Ovis aries: one gene and its partners. The protein of the gene in region 2 interacts with the protein of the main gene of each other region in a pairwise test. Links are inferred from orthologs where the notes say so. Each region holds a gene or a part of one and is shown on either strand. Other genes may lie near its edges.

Region 1 (4,399 bases), about 140 Mb from region 2:
GCAACTCCTAATTGAAATTTACTTACAGCAGAATTTAAATTTTTTTCTACTTTTTCATACAGAGGCTATTACTTTTTCATGAAAAATAAAAATGAGAGAGACATAATTGCTTAAACATTATATTAAACATAAACCATGGGAACATATTCTGTTTATATTGAAAATAAATTTTGAATGTGATCAAATTAATTTACCAGAAATGGTATGTATATGTTTATTTTTTCTAGGGAAGACATTCATAGTTTTCATCAGTTTCTCAGAGATACCCAAGACGCTCCCCTTAAAAAAATAAGTTTAAAAACAATTCATCTTGGGATTTCCCTGGTGGTCCAGTGGTTAAGAATCCACCTTCCAATGCAGGATACATTGGTTCAATCCCTGGCCAGGGAAGTAAGATCCCACATGCTGCAGGGTAACTAAGCCCGCACATCACAATGACGATCCAGTGCAGCCAAAATTTTAAAATCACAAAAACAACAATTCATCTCTATTCCCAGCAAAGGGACAAAAGGGAGAGCATTCGATACTTCCATGAGATGGAATGGGACAGGATAGAAAGGGGTGGCAGAGAAGTGGAGAGGAAAGGAATGAAGTGGAGGAACCAGAACTTCCTAACTGAGGCAATGCCCAACTATCGTGTACAAGGCAAAACAGTAACAGCAAACAGTACCAGCATTTCAATCTTTCTCTTTAGATGATAACCCCCTTCTTTTCCACTGGGTTTACCCAAAACTGAGGGATGGCCCTTACATAAAAAGCCATCTTAAAAAAAAAAAACCTGCTAGAGCAAGGAAATCTTTGTCTTTTCTGAAGAGCTGGTAAGCTTTTATTGTTAAACATGGGTTCTCTGTTATTATGTTACTTGGATCTATGTTACTTATTATTATGCATTTTTGGCTTAGTCCTCAGGAAACACAGGGATATGTTTTGCATTTGTTTTTAGCAACTCGTTTGATTTTCATTTACTTTCTAACCTCAGTCTTGTCCTCTTCCTTGTAGTGTTTTGTCCTTTGGTCCTTGTTTTAATGGGTCTATTGTAGCTGTGGTCTTTATAAGTTACCACAAATTTCCCTTTAAAAGTAGATATCTTATTAAGGAAGAAAAGAAGGGGAGGAAGGAAGGGAGGTGGGAGGGAAGGAAGGGAGGCAGTTCTTAAAAGTATGTCCTTTAGATAAGCTCTTATCAATTTAGTAGCCTTAATAGGATAAAACCTGCGGTGCATATTTTTTTTTAAACCTCAAATTATTTTACAAACCTTAAATAAACAAAAACAAATTTTCATCAAGTTTGAATTTTACTGTTTTTGTTCTGATAAAGTTTCTCTCGCTTGTTCTTTAAACCCTACCAATACTGTGCTCTCTAAATACAGTCTTTGGGGGAGAAACACCAGGTCTATTCTCAGTTATCACTCCATAAGCAGCCAACGTTCATGACTCCTTTTGCTCTCAACAGTGGATCTTTGCAGGTATGCCCTGTGTTCCTGCTGGGTCCCCCAACCTTCTTCCTGAAATCTTCTGTCCTCACCCACCGTTTCATTAGAAACTATCTCTGTCTCTCTATCTCTTTTTAAATAAAAGGGAATGCTCAGAACATCCAGCTTTGAATCCCTTTATGGAAAGGGACTAGCATTAGGATTATGGGAAGTCTCTATTACAAGGTTCTAGAGCTTTCCTTTAACATCATTCTTTGCTCAACACTGCTGCCCTTTACCTCCCTTTCTCAGGGTCAGTTCTACCATGTAACAGGTGACTAACAAATGTCTATTGACTAAACAGGAAAATTGTTTTCTAAATGATCTTAATTTTTAAGTAGCTTTCAACACCTGAAAAGTGGGAAGTTTGTGTGAAAAACATGGTCATTTTATTTACAGCCCTAGTGAGAACATTCCTAAACTTTCTTCTTGAAATGAACTTTCATTCTGCATATGTTTAATTATGTGTGTATGTGTGTGTCCAAAACTATTTTTCTTCCTTGAAAGAAAATGAAAGTGAAAAGTCACTCAGTCATGTCTGACTCTTTGCAACCCCATGGACTGTAGCCACTAGGCTCTTCTGTCTAGTGAATCCTCCAGGCAATTCTACTGGAGTGAGTAGCCATTCCTTTCTCCAGGGGATCATTCCCAGGGATTGAACTCAGGTCACCCACATTGCAGGCAGATTCTTTACCAGCTGAGCTAGCAGGGAAGTGTGTTAAGCTTGGATTTAGCTTAACAAACCTAAACATGTGCTACTAATGATCTTAATTATTACTCTGCTATTCATTTAATCAGGTGTTAAAGGAGCACGAAGAGGCCAATTCAACTGTGTTGTTCATCACCTTGAACACTTATACACACACACACACACACACACACACACACACACACATGAACTCACATATTCATGTATATACAACCATATGCTAGCCATAAATGGACCCTTGTCTTTTATATTTCATAAATGGCAGGCAGCCTCAGCCTAGACATGGCACTTTCTAGTCCTGGTATGTCAGGTGGCAGCAGAGAGGCTCAATGCCTTCTCTTGCTCTGAGTTAAAAACAGCAGGACAACATTACCTCTCTGGATCCTGATCACAAGCCTCCAGATGCCCAGTCCCAAAACAGCAGCAGTCAGCAGCCCACACACAACGGCCACCAGCACCCGGAGGTTACAGGCATGGCTGGAAGCCATGGGGAGTCCAAACCACAAACCAACGTCTGGGCGAAAGACAACTGGCTTCTTTTCTTCTTCAGCCAAGAACTTTAATCAAAAACTCTTCTAAAAAAACCACAATTCCTTCTCTCAGGGTTCTGTTAGTCAGATATCCTCAATTTTTTTTTAGGATTATTGAGGTTAATCAGGCAGGAAGCAGTTCGAATCACCTAATAAAAGGAACACAGTCTGCTTGCTATTTCCTCATCCTTCACTGAATGGGATCATGCAAAAAATGATTGGTGTTATGAGGAAGAAAGATAACTCAGGGCAATAAAGGAGAAAGGGAGGGGATAGCTAACAGAGTCAAAGTGCAAATGTCCTGACAAGCAAAAAGTAGGGAAGGAAAAAAAAAAAAAGAAACAAAAAAGAACCTAAAAGTCAGGAAGGCAGTGGACCTGGAGGGTCACCTATAGCTTAGCTTCCTCTTTTTTGTTAGGAGCCTCTAGCAGAGGTGGAGAAGGCAAGGCACCCCACTCCAGTACTCTTGCCTGGAAAATCCCATGGACGGAGGAGCCTGATGGGCTGCAGTCCATGGGGTCACTAAGTGTCGGACACAACTGAGAGACTTCACTTTCACTTTTCACTTTCATGCATTGGAGAAGGAAATGGCAACCCACTCCAGTGTTCTTGCCTGGAGAATCCCAGGGGGGACGAGGGAGCCTGGTGGGCTGCCGCCTATGGGGTTGCACAGAGTCGGACATGACTGAAGCAACTTAGCAGCAGCAGCAGCAGAGGAAGAACCACAAACTGGACTCAAGATTGCCAGGAGAAATAGCAACAACCTCAGACAGACAGATGATACCATTCTAGTAGCAGAAAGTGAAGAGAAATTAAAGAGCCTCTTGATGAAGGTGAAAGAGAAGAGTTAAAATGCTAGCTTGAAGCTCAACAATCAAAAAATTAAGATCATGGCATCTGCTCCCATCACTTCACGGCAAATCAGTTCAGTTCAGTCACTCAGTCGTGTCCGACTCTTTGCGACCCCATGGACTGCAGCACACCAGGCTTCCCTGTCTATCACCAACTCCCAGAGCTTACTCAAACTCATGTCCATTGAGTCAGTGATGCCATCCAACCATCTCATCCTCTGTCATCCCCTTTTCTTCCCACCTTCAACCTTTCCCAGCATCAGGGTCTTTTCCAATGAGTCAGCTCTTCACATCAGGTGGCCAAAGTATTGGAGTTTTACCTTCAGCATCAATGCTTCCAATGAATATTCAGAACTGATTTCCTTTAGAATGGACTGGTTGGATCTCCTTGCAGTCCAAGGGACTCTCAAAACTCTTCTCTGACACCACAGTTCAAAAGCATCCATTCTTCAGCGCTCAGCTTTCTTTATAGTCCAACTCTCATATCCATACACGACTAATGGAAAAACCATAGCTTTGACTAGATGGATCTTTGTTGGCAAAGTAATGTCTCTGCTTTTTAATATGCTGTCTAGGTTGGTCATAACTTTTCTTCCAAGGAGTAAGCATCTTTTAATTTCACGGCTGCAGTCACCATCTGCAGTGATTTTGGAGCCCAGAAATAAAGTCTGACACTGTTTCCATTGTTTCCCCATCTATTTGCTAAGAAGTGATGGGACCAGATGCCATGATCTTAGTTTTCTGAATGTTGAGTTTTAAGCCAACTTTCTCACTCTCCTCTTTCACTTTCACCAACAGGCTCTTTAGCTCTTTGCTTTCTGCCATAAGTGTGATGTCA
Region 2 (3,647 bases):
CTAACTCACCGATCTCTTTCCCTCCTCTGTGGCAACTCCTCTCTCTTGAGAACTGTCAGGTCTAAGGTCTGGGGTTAGACCTTCCCATTCATTCATTGGTTGATTCACTAACTTCATCATTTATTCAACAAATCGTTCCAGATATTTCTCTGTGCAGAGCCCTGTGCCAGGCCCTGGGCCCCAAGACCAAGCAGACTAGGTTTGCCTCAGAGGAGTTCACAGTCTGATGGTGGGGGCAAACATGCCAAACGAGATTGACAATCAATGTGACTGGGGCTGGGACACAGATAAGCACAGGGGCTATGAGAGTCCAGTAAAGGAAACTTCATCTAGTTTGTGGAGAAGGCAATGGCGCCCCACTCAAGTACTCTTGCCTGGAGAATCCCATGGATGGAGGAGCCTGGTGGGCTGTAGTCCATGAGGTCGCTAAGAGTTGGACACAGCTGAGCGACTTCACTTTCACTTTTCACTTTCATGCATTGGAGAAGGAAATGGCAACCCACTCCAGTGTTCTTGCCTGGAGAATCCCAGGGATGGTGGAGCCTGGTGGGCTGCCATCTATGGGATCACACAGAATCGGACACGACTGAAGCGACTGAGCAGCAGCAGCATCTAGTTTGGGAGTCAGAGAAGGCTCCTTGGAGGAGGTAACACTTGAACTCTGCCATGAGGGTTGCATAAAGTTTCTCAAGACCCAGAATGGAGGCATTCCCTTGTGTGGGCGTATGTGTGTGCATGTGACTGGGACAGGGTGGGAAAAAATGTTCCTGGCAGTATACAACCAAAGGCATAGAAGCACACAAGGGTGCCTGGTACGTTCAGGGTGGTCGAGCTTCAGTCTGGCTGCAGGGAGAGCTGGAGTTGGGGCAGCTCTCAAGGGGCCCTGGCGTAGGTACTCACGGCACAAGGCCTCCTCCTCGTCCTCGCTGCGGGCACAGGTGCGAACGCCGTCACAGACCCTGCTGGCCGGGATGCAGCTGCTCCGGTCGTTGCACAGGAAGCCCGTCCTGTTTGTCTGCGTCACACAGGCCTGGGCCCCTGAGTGGGCGGGGCCAGCCCCGGAAGGGTCAAGGGTGGTGTTCACAAGGGCATCACCAAGTTCTCCCCACTGAGCCCCACCTGAGCTGCAGCGAGGGCCTGGGGCCACAGGGAGGACCCTGAGCTCGGCATTGAAGATGGCGTGCAAGCCCCAGTTCAACCACTTGCCAGCTGTGTGACCATGGGCAGGTGACCTGACCTCTCTGTGCCTCAGGTTCCTGTCTCCAAAGTGGGGAGCATAGCACACACCCCGTGGGACTGCTGGGGAGATTACACAAAAGTCTCTGTGTGAATAAGCCTGGAGAGAGTGCAGAGAAAGTCATGGTTCCCATGTCTATCGAACAACCATCTCACGGGAAGCTCCTCAGGACAGGCCTCAAGCCAGTGATGGGGTTTTCATAGCAGGGCTCCTGGTGCAGGTGAGGGTGTCAGAGGCAACATCCTGGGGCCAGCTAGCGACCGTTATGCCACAGTCCTTATATCTGGGACAGCTATACAGCCTGCAAACACCTTCACATTTTTATTCTATTGTTTCCCTGAACCCTCCTGTGACATGCCGTCACTAGCCCCATTTTACAGATGAGAAGAGTAAGACTCGGTGAGGTTCGAGAGGCCAGGCCACACAGCTAATAACCAGGCTGCTGCCTCTCTCTTTCCTGAGGTAGGGCTGCCTCCGCAGTGCCCAGGAATGATGGGGACCGTCTGAGTGTCTGTCCCTTTGAGAGTCTTCCCTCTGTCCCACTGCGTCAAGCACCCAGCCCTGGGGCTGCTCCAAAGAATTAGGGGAGAGAAACTGACAGAGGAGCCTGGAGGTCCAGTTCTGCGGGTTGTGCGCACAGACACACGTGTGTGTGGGTTGGAGGTAGGGGCGAGTTTATGTGGGTCTGTGCGCATGTGAATCACAGCTCATCTCCTGGAACTGCCTCAGCTAGTATGAGGGGGCTGGCTCTCAGAGGCACATTGTCACACACACACAACTGCCCACAGACATACACGCTTGGACACACTTGCACAAACACAGACATGCACACACAAGGGCAAACACACACAGATATGTACCTGCACATACAAACATGTGCATACACGCAGATGCTTGCACACATGTACACACAGACACTCAGGTACGTGCATGGAGGCAGCTCTTCCTGTGTTCACATCTACCCGCAGTGTCCATGCACGGGCACGAGGGTACCATGGATTCTACCCCTATTCTCACTGTGTTCCTTTAGCACCTCCTGCTAGGCAACAGAGACATCTCTCAGAAAGGTAGGTCTGGTGACATCCCACCTCCAGCTAATTCCTTCCCATGGCTCTCTAGATGGTGACCTCCTTCCCCAGTGCAGATTTCGAGGCGCTGGGCCCAGGGCCCCTGGCCCTACCCGCTGCCCTGTCCATCAAGCCCACTAACCTTCTCTTCATATTTCCTTCCACCCCACACATGCTGTTCCCTGTGCCTGGATGCTTTTCCCGCCACCCCCTCCACCAACCAACCCCGCTTTCCCTTCATGCTTCAGTGCCGTTCATTTCTCAAGGTGCCCATCCTGACCCCTGGACTGGCCAGAGCCCCATCCCAGACTCTCAGAGCTCCCACTAAGCCTGCCTTAAAGTGCTTATTGGGTTAACCTCCATGTCACTCTGCAAACTGTTAGCTCCGCGAGGTCACGTTTGGTGTTGGGGCTCACTGCTGAAGCCTGCCTGGCCTCAGGGATGTACTGGACAGGTCCCTGTCCTTTGTGGTCGAGACAGACACACAGAAGGAGAACACCACTCTGGGTGATTGGGCTTGGGGGGAGAGGAAGTGTGAGAGCAATGGGAGCTGAAACAAGGCTCCTAAACCAGGCAGGCAGGGGAAGGCTTCCTGGAGGAGGTGGCATCATAGCTGGGTCCACTTCAACAGCTCAAGCTACAGATGTGCAGATGGAAGCTCAGAGGTGTGTGCTTGTCAGTGTCAGTGTGTGTTTGTACATGCACCCTAAGGGACTGTTCAGAAGTCACTTTGTGGAGAAGCCAGGCAGGATCAGTTTTCCCCGTCACTCTGTGTTCCCTCTACCCTCCCAACAAGTCTGACCCACTCTCTCTTGCCCACCCTGACCTGGTGTGCGAGGTGGGGGTCCAAGGATGGCGACCAGGGCGATCAGAGCTGCAAGAGTGGTCAGCAGGAGCATCAGGAAGGCTGAGAGGCAGGCCCCTCGGCGTGAGCAGCAGCAAGGGCTGCAGTTCGCTGTGTGGGGTGGGAAACCCGTGATGGAGCAGCCAGTCCCCTGCCCTGAGCCCTACAAGTGGTCCCTCTTCACTGGGGTCCTGGGGTAGGACAGGCTTCCCTGGAGGAGGGCGCTCCCAAGCCCACTGAGAGGCTCTCAGCTCTGCCTGTGGACCCACTCCACCAAACGCCTGGGCCTGGCCCACATCCAGTAGCTGGTGAGTGGCAGTCGGGACGAGGGCCCCAGGTCTCGGCTCCACCCCCTAAGCCCCGTGTCCTTCCATGAGTCCCAGGAGATGAGGAAGGAGACACGGACACCTGCTTACTGAGTTCCTGCCATAGGGCAGAAGCCAAAGCAGGCCCTTCATGGCCATTAATTCATTACTCAAGACAACGTTTATTTTACAGA
Region 3 (3,647 bases), on a different chromosome or scaffold from region 2:
TGAGGGCAGCAGCCACGGGGCAGCCCCTCCACCCGCCCTGAAGCACTCCACCCCTTGTCCCACGGTGGCTGTGCAGCATCACTCTCACCTGCAGACCTGGGCCCCTCTACCTGCCATAAAGTGGGCCCATCTCCATGCCCGCCCTGGGTGCCCTCGCCTCTTTCTGGGCACTCACCCCTTCCTCCACCTTCAGCCACAGTCTGTGCTCAAATGAGAGTTTCACTCAGAGGTCCAGAACTCGATTCTACGCACCACCTCTTAAATCTTCAGAGGCTCAGAGGCCCCACAAGCTCTCTGGTCAAACTGAACTCCTGAGATTCCCTCACAAGCCCAGTTGATCCCAGGATCCTCATCTTGTCCAGCTACCCAAGCCCAAAACCTGTGCTCCCCCCGACCCCTCCCTCCCCGACGGCCATGTCCAAAGCCATTCCCAAAGATACCCGGCTGCACTGTCTAATGATCTCTCAGTCCAGCGGAGGACTCCATCTTCCCTTTGCCCCACCCTGTCCAATCACACTCTGTTTCATTCATTCATTCAACATATCTTGTAAGCATCTGCTATGGGCTTCCTCGGTGGCTCAGTGGTAAAGAATCTGCCTGCAACGCAGGAGACACAAGAGAAGCAGAAGACGCAGGTTCGGGAAGGTCCCCTGGAGGAGGGCATAGCAGCCCACTCCAGTATCCTTGCCTGGAGAATCCCATGGACAGAGGAGCCTGGCGGGCTAGGGCCCATGGGGTCGCAAGAGTTGAACAAGACTGAAGCGACTTAGCGTGAGCACGCATGCTTCAGGCATGAATCTGATGGTGAACAAAAATTCAAAAATTCCTATCCTCATGGAACTTGCATCTTAGTGGCACATGCAGAAAAGAGCCAAGATAAACCAGGAGAGAAGTAGGAGCTATTGCTCTGAGTGGGGCTGAGTGGCGGCCTCACCGAGAGGTGACAAGTGAGAGAAGAACAGGAGGAGGTGAGGGAGCTGGAAGCCGAGGCCCAGGTGAGAGGGGTCCAGGGCCAGCAAGGAGGCTGCGACAGGGGCCCCTGAGCAGGGCGAGCAGCACCCCGAGTGGTGGGAGGCAGAGAGGTGCTGGGCTGGGGGGCAAGGAGGCAGACAGGCAGGAAGGGCGTCCTGGAGGGTCACCGCCTTGGCCTGGTATCTTTCTGACAAGGGCGGCAGCACCCCATATCACACCCCCGCCTGCTGCTGCCTGATCCCTGGGGAACCTGACTGACACAGCACTTTTCTGGCCACAGAGACTGGAGCTGATGGGGTGGGACCCAGCCTGGGCCTTAGAACTTCCTGAGAAGGAGTAAGGAGGGTTAGGAGCACATGTGGGCGCACAGACTCACACTGGAGGAACCCACCACCGGTCATGTGAGCCATGTACCACTTGAGGGCGCCATCCCCCAGAGAGAGGGAAGCAGCCACACTCAGGGCCTGGCAAGGCTGTCGGGCAGGCAGGCAGTGAGCCCGAGGCCCAGAAGTCCCGCTTGGGCCACAACTCCTCTGGACCACCTTGCCTTGGATTCCATCAGCCAGTATGTAACCCCGTGGAAATAGGGGGACTGAAATAGAAGGACGCAGGAACTTGAGCCGTGAGGAGGAATTGAGGTCCATTCCACCAGAAAAAGGAGCCAATGAAGGATTTCCTTTCATTTTTTAAATAAATTTTTATGTGGACCATTTTGAAAAATCTTTAGTTAATTTGTTACAATACTGCTTCTATTGTTTATGTTCTGGTTTGGGGGCCATGAGGCCTGATGGTCTTAGCTCCCTGACCAGGGATTGAACCCACGCCCCCTGCCTTGGAAAGTGACGTCTTAACCACTGGATTGCCAGGGAAGGCCTAAGGATTTTCAGTAAGAGATGTGCATTTTGGAAACATATTCTGAGGGCAGCGTAGTTGGTGTGAGTGAAGTGTTAGTCCCTCAGCCATGTCCAACTCTTTCGACCCCATGGACTGCCAGGCTCCTCTGTCCTGGAATTCTCCAGGCAAGGATACTGGAGTTGGTAGACATGCCCTTCTCCAGGGGATCTTCCCTACCCAGGGATTGCACCCCGGTCTCCCTGCATTGAAGGCAGATTCTTTACTGTCTGAGCCACCAGGAGGAGAGATGACACCTACACGTGGGCTTGGCACCCTGTGAGCTTGGGCACACCTGACTGCCAACGCATCTGTGTGCACGCACGCGCTCTCACACACGCGCACACACACCCCTCCCTTCCCTCAGGACTCCTTCAGTCTGAGGATGTGGGGTCATCTGTTCCAGAGGAGACAGAATTGAGCCCCTGGCTTTCCCTCCCTGGTGCTGCCTGCCGTGCCCTTGTCCAGCACTCACCGAGGCTGCAGTGTTTATATAGTAGTTCTTCAGGTCCTGGGTCTCTGACACGATGGTGGCGTGCACTTGTAACACGGCGGCACTCATGTACAGGATGCCCGTGGTCCCGTGATACAGGCTGTCCTAGAAAGACGCGGCGGGGGCACAGCCACTGTCATTCGGGCACGCAAGCGGTAACACCTTCTCCTCTGACTCAGCCTCTGGCCAGAGGAGGCCAAAGAGACAAGCCTGCTCCCGAAACTCCCGCTTTTTGCTTTCTCAGTGTTCCTAGCACAATTTCTATGTTGTGAGCAATAGTGGATTAAATAAATGTCAGTACCAGTACGAGCCAAGATTTATTGAGTGCTTCTTCCCGGTCAAAATGTAGGCTAAATCTTTTCCTCATTTATCTCATGGAAACTTGTGAACTATGAGGTTGGTTCTATTTATCGTTAATGCCATTTTGAGGAAATAGAAGTCCAAGGTTAAAGTCAGTGACGAGAGGCTGAGCCAGGATTTGAAACCGGGCCACATTAACACCAAGCTTGTGCTCCGCAACTGTTAGTGCGATGAAGGCCTGCTGTTTGCTAGGTGTTTTCCTAACTGTACACACTTGTGTCATTTCATCTTCACAGCTAATTTCATAAGGCAGCTACTATTAACATGCCCACTTTAAAGATGAGAAGACTGAGGCTTAGCTAACACACGGCAGAGTCGGGCTAATCTGACTCTAGATTTCCGTCCATCTTTGAACCTTTGTGCTAAACTCTCAGCAGTGTTCTTTAACATCATAAGAATACTACAGTATTCTGGAAGGAATATCATAATAGGCAAATTGGCATTTTGCAACCCCTAAAGAATATGCATCAGAAGATGAAAGGGGACATTGGAGAAAAGAGTGATGGGGTAAGGTTGTCACCGTGAAAGAAGGACCACCAGTCACCATGTGTGATGTGACTTGGAGACACTGATGAAGCATCCTTGCCAGAAAGGTTTAACCCATTTCTGTTTAGCCTTTAGATACTAACTTCTGGCTTACAGAAAATTCAGGGACTAGAGGAGCAAATCACACCAGGAAAAAGCAAACAAACCAAAATGTGGGACCTTCTACAGCAGTGGTCCCCAGGCTTTTCGGCACCAGGGACTGGTTTTGTGGAAGACAATTTTTTTTCAAGAACCGTGGGTGGACGGTTGGTTTCAGGATAATTCAAGTGCATTATATTTACTGTGCAATTTATCTCTATTATTATTGCATCAGCTCCACCTCAGATCATCAGACATTAGATCCTGGAGGTGGGGGACCCCTGGTCTACAGGACAGCTGACCACCC

The links.
Region 1: the proteins of LDLRAD1 (region 2) and ADGRG7 interact in binary tests that used the Homo sapiens proteins (3 or more experiments, as listed by UniProt). The two-hybrid records come from large-scale screens. The link is inferred for Ovis aries from reciprocal best matches to the Homo sapiens genes LDLRAD1 and ADGRG7.
Region 3: the proteins of LDLRAD1 (region 2) and MAL-like protein interact in binary tests that used the Homo sapiens proteins (3 or more experiments, as listed by UniProt). The two-hybrid records come from large-scale screens. The link is inferred for Ovis aries from reciprocal best matches to the Homo sapiens genes LDLRAD1 and MALL.

What each region holds. Positions count from the first base shown.
Region 1 is NC_056054.1:165,965,200-165,969,598, reverse strand, and holds the start of ADGRG7 (adhesion G-protein coupled receptor G7), read right to left. Parts: upstream 2,910-4,399; 5' UTR 2,669-2,909; coding exon 2,554-2,668; intron 1-2,553. UniProt on the Homo sapiens protein: Orphan receptor.
Region 2 is NC_056054.1:28,540,149-28,543,795, forward strand, and holds part of LDLRAD1 (low-density lipoprotein receptor class A domain-containing protein 1), read right to left. Parts: exon of another isoform or gene 3,260-3,647; coding exon 3,131-3,259; intron 1,300-3,130; coding exon 901-1,299; intron 1-900.
Region 3 is NC_056056.1:104,672,631-104,676,277, forward strand, and holds part of MAL-like protein, read right to left. Parts: intron 2,462-3,647; coding exon 2,339-2,461; intron 1-2,338.